Linked DNA regions of Diceros bicornis minor. The protein of the gene in region 2 purifies or fractionates together with the protein of the main gene of each other region. This does not show direct contact. Links are inferred from orthologs where the notes say so. Each region holds a gene or a part of one and is shown on either strand. Other genes may lie near its edges.

The links.
Region 1: the proteins of EMC1 (region 2) and TMED2 purify together in Homo sapiens (affinity purification with mass spectrometry; 3 studies listed by BioGRID and IntAct, with this or other methods). This does not show direct contact. The link is inferred for Diceros bicornis minor from reciprocal best matches to the Homo sapiens genes EMC1 and TMED2.

What each region holds. Positions count from the first base shown.
Region 1 is NC_080774.1:6,891,427-6,899,407, forward strand, and holds the start of TMED2 (transmembrane emp24 domain-containing protein 2), read right to left. Parts: upstream 3,023-7,981; 5' UTR 2,948-3,022; coding exon 2,768-2,947; intron 1,343-2,767; coding exon 1,150-1,342; intron 1-1,149. UniProt on the Homo sapiens protein: Involved in vesicular protein trafficking. Mainly functions in the early secretory pathway but also in post-Golgi membranes.
Region 2 is NC_080752.1:36,356,489-36,364,408, reverse strand, and holds the start of EMC1 (ER membrane protein complex subunit 1), read left to right. Parts: upstream 1-4,840; 5' UTR 4,841-4,855; coding exon 4,856-4,950; intron 4,951-7,279; coding exon 7,280-7,404; intron 7,405-7,920. Other genes in the region: MRTO4 (mRNA turnover protein 4 homolog), read right to left, coding at 13-89, 460-611, 891-958, 1,240-1,321, 2,247-2,350, 3,275-3,333, 4,512-4,539. UniProt on the Homo sapiens protein: Part of the endoplasmic reticulum membrane protein complex (EMC) that enables the energy-independent insertion into endoplasmic reticulum membranes of newly synthesized membrane proteins.

The DNA of each region.
Region 1 (7,981 bases), on a different chromosome or scaffold from region 2:
CAAGTACTTTACTAATTGCTCACTATCTAAGACAAGTGATATCATGTTAATACTATGAAATGTGTTGAACTGCTAGTCTCCAACAATCCTGACATGTGCTGTGGCAAAAAAAAAATAAATAAATAAAATCTAAATTTGCTGGCTCCTGGTAAGCAATTTATCCAGAAGAATCAATTTAGGGTTCATTACTGGTCAGTTGAGGAATAAAAATTAATCTAACTGCAACATATGGCTGACAGAACTTTTGTCACCATATTCTAGACACGGTTCCCACAACTGCATTTTACATCCAACCAAGTTTCAAGTTAGAAAACTTTAATAATGGTAAAACAAGCCTACAAAATACTTCCTGCAGTCAAAGGCACCATTTGCTATTAGCTATGTTTAATTAAGACTTTCACTTGTCCAGTTACAGTTGAATCTTTCCACCCTTCAGTATTCATTTAAAACAAAGTATGATGTTACTACTAAAATGTCAATCACTGTGTTCCCAATGCTATTAATTTAAAATGACCTAACCTATATCTCCTGTCAACCAAATAAAAACTGCCAAAAAACAATCACTCAAAACTCTAATTAGTTATAAGGTTTTTTAATTAAGAGAAAAAACACTCTCATGCTAACAAACTGAGGTTAGAAAGAAGGAAAGCAGAAATTAGACAGCAGCAAACAAAATATACAGAAAGACAGGATGCTGTCAAAAGGCAATCCACATACCATCCCAGGTATCTCCACCACCTAAAGAAAAGTGTAAGATAGAAACACACAAAAAAATAAAAAGTTTAGCTAAACTAGTCATGTAAACAAATGAGCAAATAAAGATGTATATACCAGGATTAACCAAACAAACCACCTAAGACACATGTAACCTACGTGCCTACAAGAGCACAAAGTGACTATGAAAAGCTGCTAGAAGGGGCAACTGTAAAGACCTAAAATACAAACATGAACCTCCAGAAACTTCTTTTTGTTAATTAGGAGATTTGAATAAATAAAAAGCATATTACACAAAAGGTTTTTGGTTGTAAAGACAGTGAATGAACCTAGAATAAGAAACCAAAATAAACATTCCATTTAGATGGAGAAAAATGTACAAAATTAATATTAACTCTTGGAATGTGATATAAATCTTCTGAATGCTCATCTCACCTTCTGTTTCCATGTCTTGTCCTTTTGGGGCCTCCCCAATATCAATGGTGAACATCACTATCTTTGGAGTCATGGTGGACATCCTATTGCTAAAACAAAACTTGTATGTTCCGTCCATGTGAGCAGCAAATGTGTATTTCCCACTGGACTCCCGGTCTCCTTTATAAATTCCTTTATTATCAGGCCCTGTAATCTGGAGGCAAGAAAGAAATGCATAAGATATCACGGACTTAAAATCATAAACTTCATGAGTGATGTCTATTGGCAGTAGGATATTTGCTAAGAAAATCTAATTTTCACTTAGCTCCACTTCAGTTATCGACAGTAACCTCTCTGTGCTGCAGTTCTCCCACTTATGAAACAAGACTCTCTAAACACTTTTCAACTTTGACATTTGTTTTATTTGTCCAACTTAAACGTAAACCCCTCAGAAACAGAAACCACACCTTAAACATTGTCTCCAAGTGGCCTAATACCACCAGCAAAAGTGTAGCTGTTAATAGCAAAACATCAAAAAAAGAAATATCTTTAAATCTAAGAATTTTGAGCAAGCTACATTTCTAGGTTTTTCTGATTACTGCCAATCAGTGAAGGAAAGTGCTTTATGTGAGACGCTGAAGGCTTAAGGGAAAGGCCTGGAAATTAGGAGACCCATGTTCTCAGCCCAGTCTGCTACAAATCAGCTGTTAGGGGTGCTGGAGTTAGTTCTTTTATAAAGCCCCTACCACCTGTAAAACTTAAGACTGGAACAGTTGATCTCCAACGTCTTAGCTAACTTTAACAGTCACTCCTCCCATTATCCCCTTATTCCTGGACTTCACTTGTATTGTGTAATTTGTGCCCAACTGTGTTGATGTTCACTGTCAAATGGAACTCTTAAACCCAATTAATCATGCTAACAGATGAATTTAAATATTAATTACATCTGGTTTCCTAAAAAATATTAGAGGCGAATCATTCTCTTGGTTTAAAAAAAAAAACAGGAGGAAATTCAGGGACGGCTGGTTTCTTAAAATAATTTCCTGTTCGCTCCAGATCCTTCACTGCACTCATCCCTCCTAAAAATGCAGGACCCAACTCCACCTCTCTCCTACAGAGATGGCTAAAAGAGATATCTGGAGGTTTGTGTAAAAACGAGTCCAACATTCAGGACGTTTCTATGAAAAACAATGAAAAACACAACGCGAACGTCTGCGAGCATTCCATAGCTTCCGATTTACTTTTTCAGACGTTTCCCTGCCACGTTCCAACATTAGCCCGTAACACGAAGGAACGCGGCTGCCGGGCGTACCGAGTCCTGCCACCAGCTAACCCCCGGGAGGCGCCTTCTGGGCCCGGAGCTGACACGCGGCGCCCGGTCGACAAAGCTCGGCGAGACGTGCCGGGGGACCCGCCGTTCAGGGTGGGAACCCAAAGCGACTAAGCCCAGGCTCCGCAGCCCGAGGGGAGCCCGCGCCCGGAATCCTGGCCGGCCGCGGCGACAGGGCCGTTGGGGGTCGCCCAGGCGGGGCCCGGGCCCCTCCCAGAACGCGGACAGCCGCCCCCACGCCCCGCTCCCCCGCAGACCCCGGGCGCGCCCCGCGCGACCCCGCCTCGGCCGCGGGCAGGGCGCCCGCACCTCCACGTCGATGTCCAGGAAGCCGCCCTCGGCCACCTCGAAGATGAGGCCCATCTTGGTGCCCGAGGTGACCCGCTCGAAGAAGCACTCCTCGGCGTGCGCGTCGATGCTGACGAAGTAGCCCGAGGCCGTGGCCAGGAGGGCGGCCAGGAGCACCAGCAGCTCAGCGAGCGTCACCATGGTGCGGCTGGGGCCGAAGCCAGGACCCAGAGTGCGGCCTCCAGAGCCGCCGCCGCCGCCGCCGCCACCGCTGCCTCCTCAGCCGCCGCCGCCTCCGCTCCGCCCCTTCCGGCTGCGCCACCCGAGGGGGCTGATGCGGGCGCCGTGGATTGGCGGGCGCCGGCAGCTGCCACGTAACGGACGCACGGCGGCCGCCGAGGGACATGGCGCCTCCGCGCGGCCCCTGGACGGTGGCTCCGAAGGGCCAAAAGCCGTCGGCCTCACCTCGCTCCCTTTTCGCGCGCAACCTAAATTTCACGTGGACCACACAAGAAAGCGGCGCTATCAAGAAAACTACCGCGCTCGGTGCAGTGCCCTCTTAGGATTGTCCAAAAAAGATGGCGAAAGATTTGGCGGCAGCAATAGGAGTGGAGGGAATTTGAGATGGGGGCTGCAGCCAAAGGCTTTGAGGTTTTATGCTGGCCTCCCCTCACCCAGCAAAAACCAATGGGGAAAGGACGGAGGCGGGTATAGGCTGAAAAGGGGCACGAGGGAACCGCCTGGGATGTTGGAAATGTTTTATATCTTCCCCTACATGATGGGTACTTGAGTGTTTACAGATGCTTTTTTAAAAAATCAAGAAGCTGTGTACTTAAGCTGAATGCACCTTATTTTACTGTGCGTATGTGATACAACTACCAAAAAAATTTTACCTTGTCTACATCCTCCAAAATTAGAATTCTCTCAGCTCCGCAAAGTCTTGGGGCCACCTCCCATTCCCTTAGCTCTTGCCAGCTACTAGGACAATTTTTTTCCGCTCTTTGCCTCCTGGTACACTCCTACTTATCCCTCAAAACCCTATTCAAATGTTGCCTTTTCTCTGAAATGTTCCTAGACCTTCTTCTGCCAAATACTAGCCCCTTCCTCTGTGCTTACAAGGCAGATTTGTGCCTACTGAGTTATAGTTATTTACCAGTCTGTGCCACTCATGAGGCACTTGGCATATTATGTGCTGTGCTCTCAGGTCCTACCATAGAGCCACAAAAGACCTCACAAAAGGCTGTGTTAGTTGACATGTCAAGTTCATTGAACTGGCCTGGGGAGGAGGAGACCTGTTGTTACTCCAGTTCTGCACTGTGTGACCTTAATTATGTTCCATCACCTCTCTGAGCTTCACTTTCCTTATCTGTAAAACGGGGATGACACCACATTCCTTGCATCTGGTCAAGTTATGGTGAGGATCGGATGACACCATGTATGTGCGTGTGTAGTGCAAATTTGAGGGGTTATTTCTTCAAACCTCAGCAGGCAATAGGGGGCAGTAGTGGCCCAAGATCCAGTTTGCCTGCTTCAGGTGTCAAGAAACAGGTGTAGCTACAGTGATGGAAGCTTCCTGGCTATGATGTGTTATTGAACTCGAGAGTTCTAGTAATGGTCCCCTGATTCCCCACCCTCCAGACTGTGGCAGAGTTCTTGCTTCTGCTGGCAGGTCAGTTCTGTAGTGTTATTCTGGGAGCCGTCGCTGGAGGGAGGCCCAGCCTGGAGCCTGCTCCTCCGGCCTCACCGACCCATTCAGAAGCCCCTTTTCTGTGCACGAAATCTCTTCCTGCTTGTAATGCCTTCAGAGGTTTTCTATTAAACTGAATTGAACTAATGGATACAGGTTTTTTGACTTCCCAAGCAACCCAACTCTGTAGAAAAGCGCCAGGAACAATTCTATTTTTCTCTGGAAATTAAATATTAATTTTCAAACTGATTAAATAATGTTCTAACTCCACTTATCAGGGATTTAAAATGTGGACATTTAGCATCTCAGTGGAATACAATGAATTGTATATGGGGGGGTTTATTATATAAATCAGGGGTCCCAAAATCAAGTGCCTTCAGGAATCAAGCAGCTTATAAGATTGAGAGATGGCACCAGCTTAAGGCAATAGGGAGTGGGGAGGACTGTGGCAAACTGGAGCATAGATGCTGTATCTAAATACAATTTTTGAAAACACAGTGGTGGCCAAACCAAAGATGCAGCCCGAAGTCTTCTGTAAATGTATTTTTTATATTATAAAGTAATTAACTGTGCTATCTGAAAGTGAGAAAGGAGACAAAGGTAACTCTAATCACGGTACTGTAAAATAATTACTACCAACTACTTGGTTTCGTTCCTTCTTTATACAGGTTTTTCTTTCTAGCATCGTTGTTATAATTACTCACCAGGCGTCTTTCAACATTATTTCAGGATCTGAAGACAAAGAACCACAGGTTCTCAGGACATGCCAGGTCACCCACAGTAAATGTGCACTTCAGTGGTCCTCAGATTGGCATGAGCTCACGTGCCATGGTGTGCATGAACACATCCAGCATAACAAACAGCTGGCACATAGGGGGTGCTCAATAAATATTTGATGGATGACGAACAAACCTCTCAACTGGGGTCTGGTCTAGAAGCCACCAGGTGGTGATCAGTGGTCAGTGAAGTGCAACAAAAAATGGGTCCTCCCTTCCTTCCTTCCTTCCTTTTCACGTACCATAAAATTCACCGTTTTCAAGTGTACGATTCAGTGGTTTTTAGTATATTCGGAGTTGTTCAACCATCGTCACTTAATTCCAAAACATTTCATCAGGCCAAAAAGAAATCCCATACCCATTAGCAGTCACTGCCCGTTCCTCCTCCCCTCAGCCCCTGGCCACCGCTAATCTACTGCCTGTCGCTATGGATTTGGAACGGAATCCTACAATATGTGACCTTTTGTGACCAGCTTCTTTCACTGAGCATGTTTTCAAGGTTCTTCTGTGTTGTGATGTGTCAGTGCTTCATTCCTTGTTATGGCTGAACGATATTGTGTTATATGGATAGACCACGTTTTGTCTGTCCATTCACCTGTTGATGGACATTTGGGTCGTTTACACTTTTTGGCTATTATGAAGAATGTTGCTGTGAACATTCATGCACACGTTTTTGTATGGACATATATTTCCAATTCTCTTGGGTATATATCTAGAGCAGACAAAATAAATTATTTCTACTCGGAATCAGAAGCTTGTTGTGTGTGGCAGGGACCAGGAAACCCGGTTAGAAACTGTTGAGGGGTTTGGATCAGCTGCATCAGTCAGTTCTCAAGTGCTGGCAAGTTGTCAAGAGAATAACAAAAGGCTGTTTCCACAGAAAGGCTAGATCAGCTTTCTGCTGTCTGGGTATTAACACTCCTTCCCTTTGGTCCCAAAGAAGTCTTTTAAAATTAAGGAAGATTAAAGGAGACTGGGAAAATTTCTTTCATTATTCTTTTTTTTTTCATTTTCAGTTTTAAAATGTCATTTTATTGAAAACAATATTAATATGTAAAAATAATCAGAATTCAAGACAAATTTAACCACAATATCACCATCTAATCAAATCAGCCATTTTGGGGGGCTCCATGCTAGTCCTTTACTCATTTGATCTCAGATCCATCCCAGCCCTCTCTGCTCACCTCTGCATCACAAGAAACTAAGTTTTCCAGGCTCCCTTGCACTCTGCTTCCTGGAAGATCCTGCCAGTTGCAGGCACTGATGGAAGACTAGAGGGGAGAGGAAGGAAGGAGCTAGAGTGTTTGTCTCCCTCTCTGCTTTGGGAAGCGTCGCCGTTAGCGGCTGTCTTCAAACCTGCAGCTCCTCTGAAGTTCCAGTTTCCACTGGGTGGTCCTGGCTCCTGGGATCCGGTAACCCCACTTCCTCCCTTCTTTCCTCCAGTCCTAAGTGGGTTGGGGTCTTTCTGCTCTCGTTAATCTGTAAGTTGTCTCACCATCCCTTGTTTGGATCTTCAGCTCTATCATCACCTGGTGTTTGGTTTCAAAATATATCCAGGAGCCAGCCCCGTGGCGTAGTGGTTAAGTTGGGCATGCTCTGCTTCGGCGGCCTGGGTTCACAGGTTCAGATCCCAGGCCCGGACCCACACCATTCTTCAGCGATGCTGTGGCAGTGACCCACATACAAAATAGAGGAAGATTGGCACAGATCTTATCTCAGGGTTAATCTTCTTCATGAAAAAAAAGAGGAAGATTGGCAACAGATGTTAGCTCAGGGCCAATCTTCCTCACCAAAACAAATATATCCACAAATTCTTGACCCTCCTCCCTTCAAAAGGTGGAGCCTAATTCCCCGCTCCCAGACTGGGAGGCAGAATTGGTTTAGTGACTCACTTCTGACTGAGAATGTGGCAGATGAGATGCTGTGTGACTTCTGGAGGTAGGTCATAAAAGGCATTGTTGCTTCTACCTTGCTCTCTTGAACAGCTTCCTCTGGGGGAAGCCAGCCGTCATGTCTTGAGGACACTTGAGCAGCTCTGGGAGAGGCGCGCATAGAGAGAAACTCAGGCCTCCCACCAACGTCGTGGAAGTGGCTCCTCCAGCCCGGGTCAAGCCTTCAGATGACTGCAGCCCCTGCCGATATCTTGACTGCAAGCCCCTGAGAGACCCTGTATCAGAATCGCTCAGCCAAGCTGCTCCCAAATTCCAGACCTACAGAAACCATGAAAGATAATGATTATTGTTGCTTTAAGCCACTAAGTTCTAGGGTAACTTTTTACACGGCTATAGGTAACTAATGCACCTGTTTAACCAATTTCCCGATTAGAACCTTTCTGTTGAAAGACCTAGAGTGGGTTCCATTTTCTGACTGATACAAACCCCTGTCCTGAATTGTAAACCAAAAGTGAAATTAGCTTCTGTAAAAATGAAAAGTGTAAATGTGAGGCTGTTACTGACAGTGAAGGCTGGGTCACGTGACCCCAGACTCTTGTGATGGGCTCTGCGTGCACACGGGGAACAATACCTGGAAGTAATTAATTACAGGCTGGAGGGGGTAATCCAAGCAGAAGATGCTGCAGGAGCACAGAAGGGGGCCCCTCCTGATGATAAGATCCACTAGTGAGGATATAGTGAAGAGGGAGGAACAATACTTTAAGAAAGACTTGGGTAATTATGTGAAAAGAAAAGGATGGTCCAGATCATGAAGATGAAATTAAAGTATTAAAAAGAGGAAGTTTCTAATATCAGCTTTTTAGATGGCCACATTTCTACA
Region 2 (7,920 bases):
GGGCGGACTCACCAGGATGCGGGCCTGCTCTGGGGTCAGCACGTCGCCCTCTTTGCACACCTCGTAGTCGGACAGCAGGGTCACCACGCCTGCAAAGAAGGGGGCCCCTGAGCAGTTCCTGCTGACAGAGCTTCCTGCCCACTGCCCAGAGCTAGGAGCAAGCTGGCTGGCCCCCCGCACATGCCAGGGCAGCTCAGTCAGACGTGTCCAGCTGCCTGGGAGGGTTTTCAGGGCAGTGACCACCTCCCTCATTGTCCTGCAGTGCTGTGTTCTGGCTCTAAGTCGCTGTCCACTTCCCCCCAGCTATGAGGCGGGCACTCTCGGCCCCATCTTCAAATGAGAGAATGGAGGCTGGGAAAACCCACTCAGCCAGGACGGGGAGGAGGGCCCGTCGGGCTTGGGGGCCTGTGCTCTTGACCTCGAAGCTGGGACCTTTCAGCTCCAGGGACTTCCCCGTACCTCTCCTGAGGGCAGTGGGCAGGCCCAGCTGCCTCAGCTGTGGCTCCATGGAGTGGGGGAACTGCTCCAGGGGCCCTGGGTCCAGGCTCACGGTGAACGCTGCTTTGTTCCCAGCTCGGGCGTAGTCCATCTCTGTGTATTTGGTGAACCACCTGAAGGGAAAGAGAAGTGGAAGGAGGGCAGGTTCCTGACTGGCCCACCCGCCCACCTACAATCAGGCTCCCCGTGGGTCTCGCCTCCCCTCCCCGTCCATCTCAGCTGCTGGCTGGCAGCCAGCCTGGAGCACCGTGCTGGAGAATAACGACTCAGTAAACTGGGTTCTAGGAAGCAGTTTTTCCTTGATGCCTCCACTGTACAAAGCCCCTAGATTATTCCTTCCCTAGAGTCCTCACCAATCTTTCTCTTCCTTACCACTCCTCAAAAACACTTACTCGTTCACTTCCTCCTTAGTGCGATTGGTGAAAAGGAGACCAACTTCACCCCTCAACTTCTTGCTGACCTAGGAAACAAACAGAGGATCAGCTCGGTCACATTAGAGCAGTGGGTCTCACCTGGGGACAATTTTGCACCCCCCTCCCCTCAGGGGACCTCTGGCAACATCGGAGACATTTCTGGTTGTCCCAGCTGGGAGGGGCACTACTCGCTGTGTCTGGAGGTTAAAGGAGAACCGGAGCTTTAAGCCAGGCCTCGCCCTCCCTGATCCCGGCCGGGCCTGATGGCCGGAGAGTGTGTTGTGAGCAGCGGCCTGGCCCCGGCCCCTCCGGAGAGGGCCAGCCTCACCTGGTGCAGGTTGTCTTTGTACTCGTCAGATGGGCTTCGACCCAAGGCCACCATCATCACTTTGTTTTTGCCAAAGAACATCCTACAGAGAAAAGGAGGCCTCCGTGAAGGGGGTGCCCTACCCAGCCCTCCCCTCAGTTAAGTGCTTGCCAGCTCTAGTCCGCGGGGGCCCAAGCCCAGGCCTAGGCTGTTCTGTAGCGGGAGGGGTGGCCAAAGGCTCCCACTTCTTCCATGTGGCCCTACCCGCTCTGTCCCCAGCCCAGGATCTCTTTCATTATTTTCCTGCCACAGACCTGGCATTCACAATATTTTGTCTACCAACCCAGTGTGAGTGTTATGTGAACCCGCCCCCCGTGCTGCCCTGGCTGGAAGTGCAGACGAGGCACGTGCCATGGTCTGAACCAGAGCTGGTGCAGCAAGAGACAACCGGAGTCATCACCTGCACTGTCACAAATCCAGCCCAAGGACAGGTACTCGCCAAAGGGCTCATGCAGCCTGCTCTCGGGTCATTGTGTGCCTCCTGGAGCACATCAGCCATGGGGATAGGTTCTAAGACACGCATCGTTAGGCGATCTCATCATTGTGCGGATATCAGTGTTCTTACACACACCTAGATGGCATAATCGACCTCGCATCTAAGCTATGTGGTACTAATCTTATGGGACTACTGTTATGTATGTGGTCCGTTGTTGACTGAAACATTGTTGGACAGCACGTGACTGTATTGACATTCTAAAACTGACGAGATGTTCCTAAAAGGATCAGACCCCAGGGTGAAGGGAGCCCCTTCTCCTGGAGGGATCACTGATCAGACATCCCTTAAGCAACTATCAAGTCCTGTCCCTCAAGAAGCTCAGTGCAAGACCAGCTTTAATGCTGAAAAAGCGCCCTTCAGTGGGAGTGGCCCTTTGCCCTTATTAAGGTACCAGGTACCCAAGGGTCAATACTTGCCCCTGTGCTTTGAGAGCAGCCTGGCCCCTTCCCCACTCTTCCCACTGCCTGCTCACCGGCTGTGCTTCCAGGCGTTCCGGATGTCCTTCAGCTTGTTGTTCCTCATGTTGGCCACGGAGAAGATGAAAAGGTACTTGTACGTGTCCACACATTTCCGAAGCTGTGGGACAATTCATGGGGCTCTGGAGTTCAAGGGGCAGCACGAGTTGGGCAATACTCTGGCCTCAGATGGGAAAGAATCTGCTCTAGATTCTACAACTGTGGAAGTTGAGAGTTGCAGGCCTCTAATCTAGTTGTCTCCTCCTCACCTCCATTACTGAAGCCAGGATCCCTAAGGATAGGGGCTCCCCTGAGGCCAAGCAGACATGACCTCAAAGGGCAGGGGAAGCTGAGCCATGGGTCAAGATCCCAGTCTTCCCACATTCCTGACTTATCTGTGGCCAACAGTGGAATCCACCACTTCTCTTTGCCTTGTCCATTAACTGCTGACAACCTAAAAATACTCAGCTACGCTAGGAAGGCTCCTGCTAGCTGGAAGCATAGAAAGCCTCCTTATTTACTCATAAGGGGAGGCAGCTCAACGGCCCTTCTCCACCCCCACGTTGCTGGCTGCAGCCACGATGAGGTGGTCTCAAAGACACAATCTGTGCGGGAGGAGATGCTGCTGTCAGCCAGCCTGCAGCCCTGAAGCAGTGCAGACAGCGGGCTGGTGCATTTGCCCACAACTGGTAACTCCCCAGCTTTTTGACATGGAACAGGCTAGCAAATCTCTGTGAGCTTCAGCTACCCAACTGCATAACAGTGATAACGTCACCTCGCATCTACCCAGAGGGATGTGGTGAGGATGGAGTGAACAACACATACGAAATGCTCAGCACCGAGCAGGGCATAGAGTAAGAGCTCAGTGAAAGCTGGAAATCATTGCTGTGGGATGATTGGTGGTGCTGCTACTGGTGGAAAAAGGCCTGCATCGGCAGCTGTTTTTGTTTTTTTTTTAACAGTATGTTTCCCTGACAAACAGCCCTACACCCACCTTTATAAACCAAACACAAGATCCGAAAAAATAAAAAGAATGAGCTATTACCTCTTCGATCAGGTTCTGTTTCAGTTCCAAGCCTTTCTTGGCAGTTTTGGTTAAGGAAACTAATACAAAGAAGAAAAAGGAGATGATGAAAAACAAATCTGGATGTCCTGGAGACTCCTTTTCTTCTCCCTGGCTGCTCAGCTGGACCGAGCCACTCTGAGGAAGGGCAGCAAGGCTGATGCAGCCACTACTGGCACACAAGGCTATTCCTGGGGTCCTCAGAGTGCCTACTCTCTAGCATTCCTGAGCCTGGAGACCCTTTGATATATTTTCTGTTGCTTAGACAAACTAGGTGCTCCTCAGCCCTCTTAGGCTAACCTAAAAACCCCTACTGAAGTGTGGGGGCAGGGCTTGTTCCTGCTCTTGGAGCGCTGTAAGCGGCAGACCTAGACTTGGAACACCATTCCCCGAAGGTAACTCCATGGGTTGCTTATTCTCTTTCTTCAGGTTTCTGTTCATTTGTCACCTCATCAGAGAGACCTTTTCTGGCTACGTTACACAAAATAATATCACCTCTTTCTGTTACTTTTTCTCCATGGGACTCACGACTGTCTGACTTGATGAGACTTTTGGTATTTGGGGGAGATATGTATCCCATGACTAAAACGTTAAGTGCGATGAGTGCTCTAGGCCTTTCTTGTTGTAACTGCTATATCCTCCAACGCCTAGAGAGTTCCAGGCCCCCTAAATATTCGTTGAGTGAATGTGCTGGAGAGCCAGGGTGGGAGAAGCCAAAATTGTAAAGATGGTCAGGAATGGTTTCTTAGAAGGTGCCCTATGAACTGAGAACCGAGAAAGAACCAGCCATGTGAAGGTCAGAGCATAAAGGCACGCCAGACAGAGAGAACTGCAAGTAACAAAGGGCAGGGAATAAGCCTGTGCTGAACGAAAGGAAAGGCGGCCAGGGTGGCGGGAGCGCAGAGCTCAGAGAGTGAAATTGAGGTGGGAGGGGTGGGCCAAAGCGAGATGGGGCGCAGCCTGCGTGTTCAGAGGCTGTTTGTCGGCCCAGTCGGCCTTGGAAGAGCTCTTAAGGAGCTCTCCGATCCCTTGACCCCACCACGCTCCAGCCCTCTCCGATGCTCCCGCCGCTCCGACGCCCCCATCCGAGCTCGCAGCGAGCCCGCGGAGCTCCTCGCCGAGGTCCCGGCGTCCCATTCCGTCCTCTCGAAGCACCCCACCGCAGCTGACAGCCAGCCGGCGGCACTCCCCACCGAGTCCCAAAGCCCCCTTCGCCCACCTTTCTTATCGCGCTTAGATTTGGGCATCTCGTTGCAGGCACGTGCGGCGGAAGACGGTGCTGCCTGTTAGGACCCCGGCGGCGCGGGGAACTCTGGGATGGCCCTCGGGGGCTGCCCTCGCGCGTGCCTGACTCAATCTGCGCTACGGCCCCCTCCTCCTGCTGGCCACCGCCTGCGCTCTTCCCCGCGTCTCCAGGGCGATTTCTCGCCCGTCCGGGGTCCTCCGAGTCCTGAGCGCCCCACCCGGGGCTTCGCGTGCCGTCCCAACTCTATGGTTCCGCGGAGGCGGGGCCTGCGGCGCGGTGCATGCCGGGCCGGCGGCGGGCGGGACCGGCCTCCCATCATGGCGGCGGCGGCGGCTTCCCGGTTCTGGTTCTGGGCTGCCCTGCTTGTGCCTGCGGCCGCGGTCTACGAAGACCAAGTGGGCAAGTTTGATTGGTGCGTACGTGTGGGGCCTCTTCGGGAAATATGTGGCTATTTTCCCAGCACCTGTCTTCTCTCGGCTAAAGGGAGGGAGGTTATCGTTATCATGTGGCAGAATTGGCTGCGTAACTTGCGGAGCCCAGTGCAGAATGAAAATGTGGGATCTCTCGTTCAAAAATTAAGAGTTTTAAGGTGGCGACAGCACAGCATGCAACCAAGTGTTGGGGGCGCTTCTAAGCCGGTCCTTGTGTAACTATACAGGTCGCAAGCCGATGCAGCCGGCCCTGCTGTTCAGACACGCTCGGGGTTCTGGTCAGAGGTCACTGTTCCCTCCTCCCCCGCCGGGCCCCGCTTCTGTGGCCGTCAGGTTTCTGATCCACTGTGTGTCACAAGTCGACAGCCTGCAGTGAACTCTCATTCCTCCTCGAATTGGCATCTCTTGGGCGTGTGAACAGGGGCTTGGGTTTTATTGAGTCCTAAACTGAGTCCTCTTTCTCCTCCCTTCCAGCTCAGGACAGGGCCGTCCAATACTCACATCAGCCCCTAAGTGCCATTCATTCATTCACTCACTCATTCACCCACTCACTCACTCACCCATCCCTTCCTTAAGTCCCCGGAGTTGGCTTGCTTTTGTTTGAATCTCAATTTTGTGACGTAAAGGTTGTGTGATCTTGGGAAGAGACTTAACCACTCTGTGCCTGGTTCTTTATCTGTAAGATGGGTTTACAAATAGCTCATTACTTCCTACAGTAGCTGTAAGGATGAATGAGATAATTCCTTTAAATTACTTAGCACAATACCTGGCTCCTTGAGTGCAGTCAGTAAATGTTGCTCATTATTACTAATCAGGGAACACGATCCTTCAGAGCCCAGCTCAGCTATCTTCTCCTCTCTGAAGTCTTTTGTGTCTCAGACAAATTGATTGATGTATTTGTTGAGTGCCTGTGGTGGGACAGATGTTCAGATGCTGTGGATACAGAGATGGGAAGGAGCTCAGTCTAGCGGGGCAGATATATAAGTATGTGATATAAGACGGTGTAACAAATGCAACGTAAGTCACGTTTTTAATGATGTGGGAAAATGTGTAGTATGATATGTATATATTACACGTATGCACAATATGTGATATTCCAATTTAACAGAATATTAGGTATATGCAATTTACAAATTGAGAAATAAATAGAAGGAAATACACCAAAACATTAAAAAGTTTATGGTCGTGGTATTTTAGGCATTTTTCATTTTATTTTTTATACTTTTATGTATTTTTCACATTTTCTACAGCGAGCAGGCATTACTTTTATAGTCCAGATAAAGGCAGCACTTAGTTTAAAAGAGAGCATGGGATTTAGAGTCAGAAGGTCTTAGTTTTGTGGTCTAGTTCTGACAGAGATTAGTTGATGTCAGTAGACATTGATTTACTTACCTGTAAAATGAGAGTAATAATGTTTGTTCTACATACTTCAGATTGTTCAGTGCGTACAACGAAAAAGTATGTGAAAATGCAGGTAGAAACTGTCAAATGTCATATAAGCCTGTCTCTCTACCGGGCTTAGTCTTTTCTTTTTTTGAAAAAGTAGAGCAAACAACATCACAACAAGAGAAATTCAGTGTAAACGTCACGTGTGTTTAATTAGCTAGTGGTTGCCGTACTTCTTAATTAAAAAGAATGTGCAAGCACCTCCTGTGTATTTGATAGTATCCATGCAAAGCTAGTATGTTCCATTTATGCTTAGGTAGGAGTGTTGAAAGTGATGGGATATATTCCAAGGAAAATATGAACAATGAGTCAAATGGATCCTGAACATGGTGTGAGCTAGAAAAGGCTGTAGAGAACAAAAGGCCTGACCCGGTCTCTGGAGTTTTGTTGGGAAATTGGCATCATTTTTTCTCCAGAGGTCGTGAAAGTAGAAGGGAAAGTTGGATTGTATGCTCGTTGACAACAGGGTTTGTGTCTCTTCTGTCGCATGTAACGTGAGTGTCTAGTCCCACTATTATCGAATACAGAGAGGACTGTAATGTTTGTTCTAGTGGGATTTAGGCCACGTGCTCTCTTGGGTGTCACTTATCTCGAGCAAAATATGTGCTTGCATTTAGAAGGAAGACTGTCGCGTTTCTTATCTGCTAGGGGGTATTCTCTCTTCTTGTTCCCTTTGCTTCTGACTACATTGCATAGAAATCTTGCTTTTGGTCAGATCTGTTTGTTAACAAACATTTCTCATACGCTCTAAGATAGGTATGATGGTGATAACCTCATGTATTTGTGCAGTTGCCTTTTTCCAAAGTATTTTCTGCAGTGATGGTTTGGGCCCCTTACATTTATTTCCCTGTTCTCTCTCCCCAGGAGACAGCAGTATGTTGGGAAGCTCAAGTTTGCCTCCTTGGAGTTTTCCCCTGGATCCAAGAAGTTGGTTGTGGCCACAGAGAAAAATGTGATTGCAGCATTGAATTCTCGGACCGGGGAGATCTGTGAGTGAACTGTGCAGACGTTAGCTCGAGATGGAATGGCTGACGTAGTGGATCCAGAAGGCCTGTGGCTTGTGACGTCTGCCTGGCTGATTCCCAAATTAGGGATGAGTCGGCCAAAAGAGGGATCTCTTACTGGATTCTGATACCTTTTTTTTTAATGTCTTGTCATCTTTGAATACTTAAGATACTCCTATAACTGGCCTTTGTAGTTTATTCCGTAAGCCCAGGTCTTGAGTGTTCTTGAATAAGATATTGCTGCAAAAAACGCATTGATCAGTTTTGCAGTAAAGATTGGAATATCCTCCGTAAATTACTTACACTGCTTTTATGGATGTTTTCGGGCACTAAAATCATGGAAATGTAATTTGTCACTATTTTTCTGGTGAATTGTATGGATTTTGTTAATTTTGTCATTGTTTATTTATGTTTGATGGTAGTGGGTGGGCAGAGGAAGTACAGGGACCTCAGACTGGGACAGTAGTGGCTCCTGTCAACCCCTCCTCCCCTCATTACCCA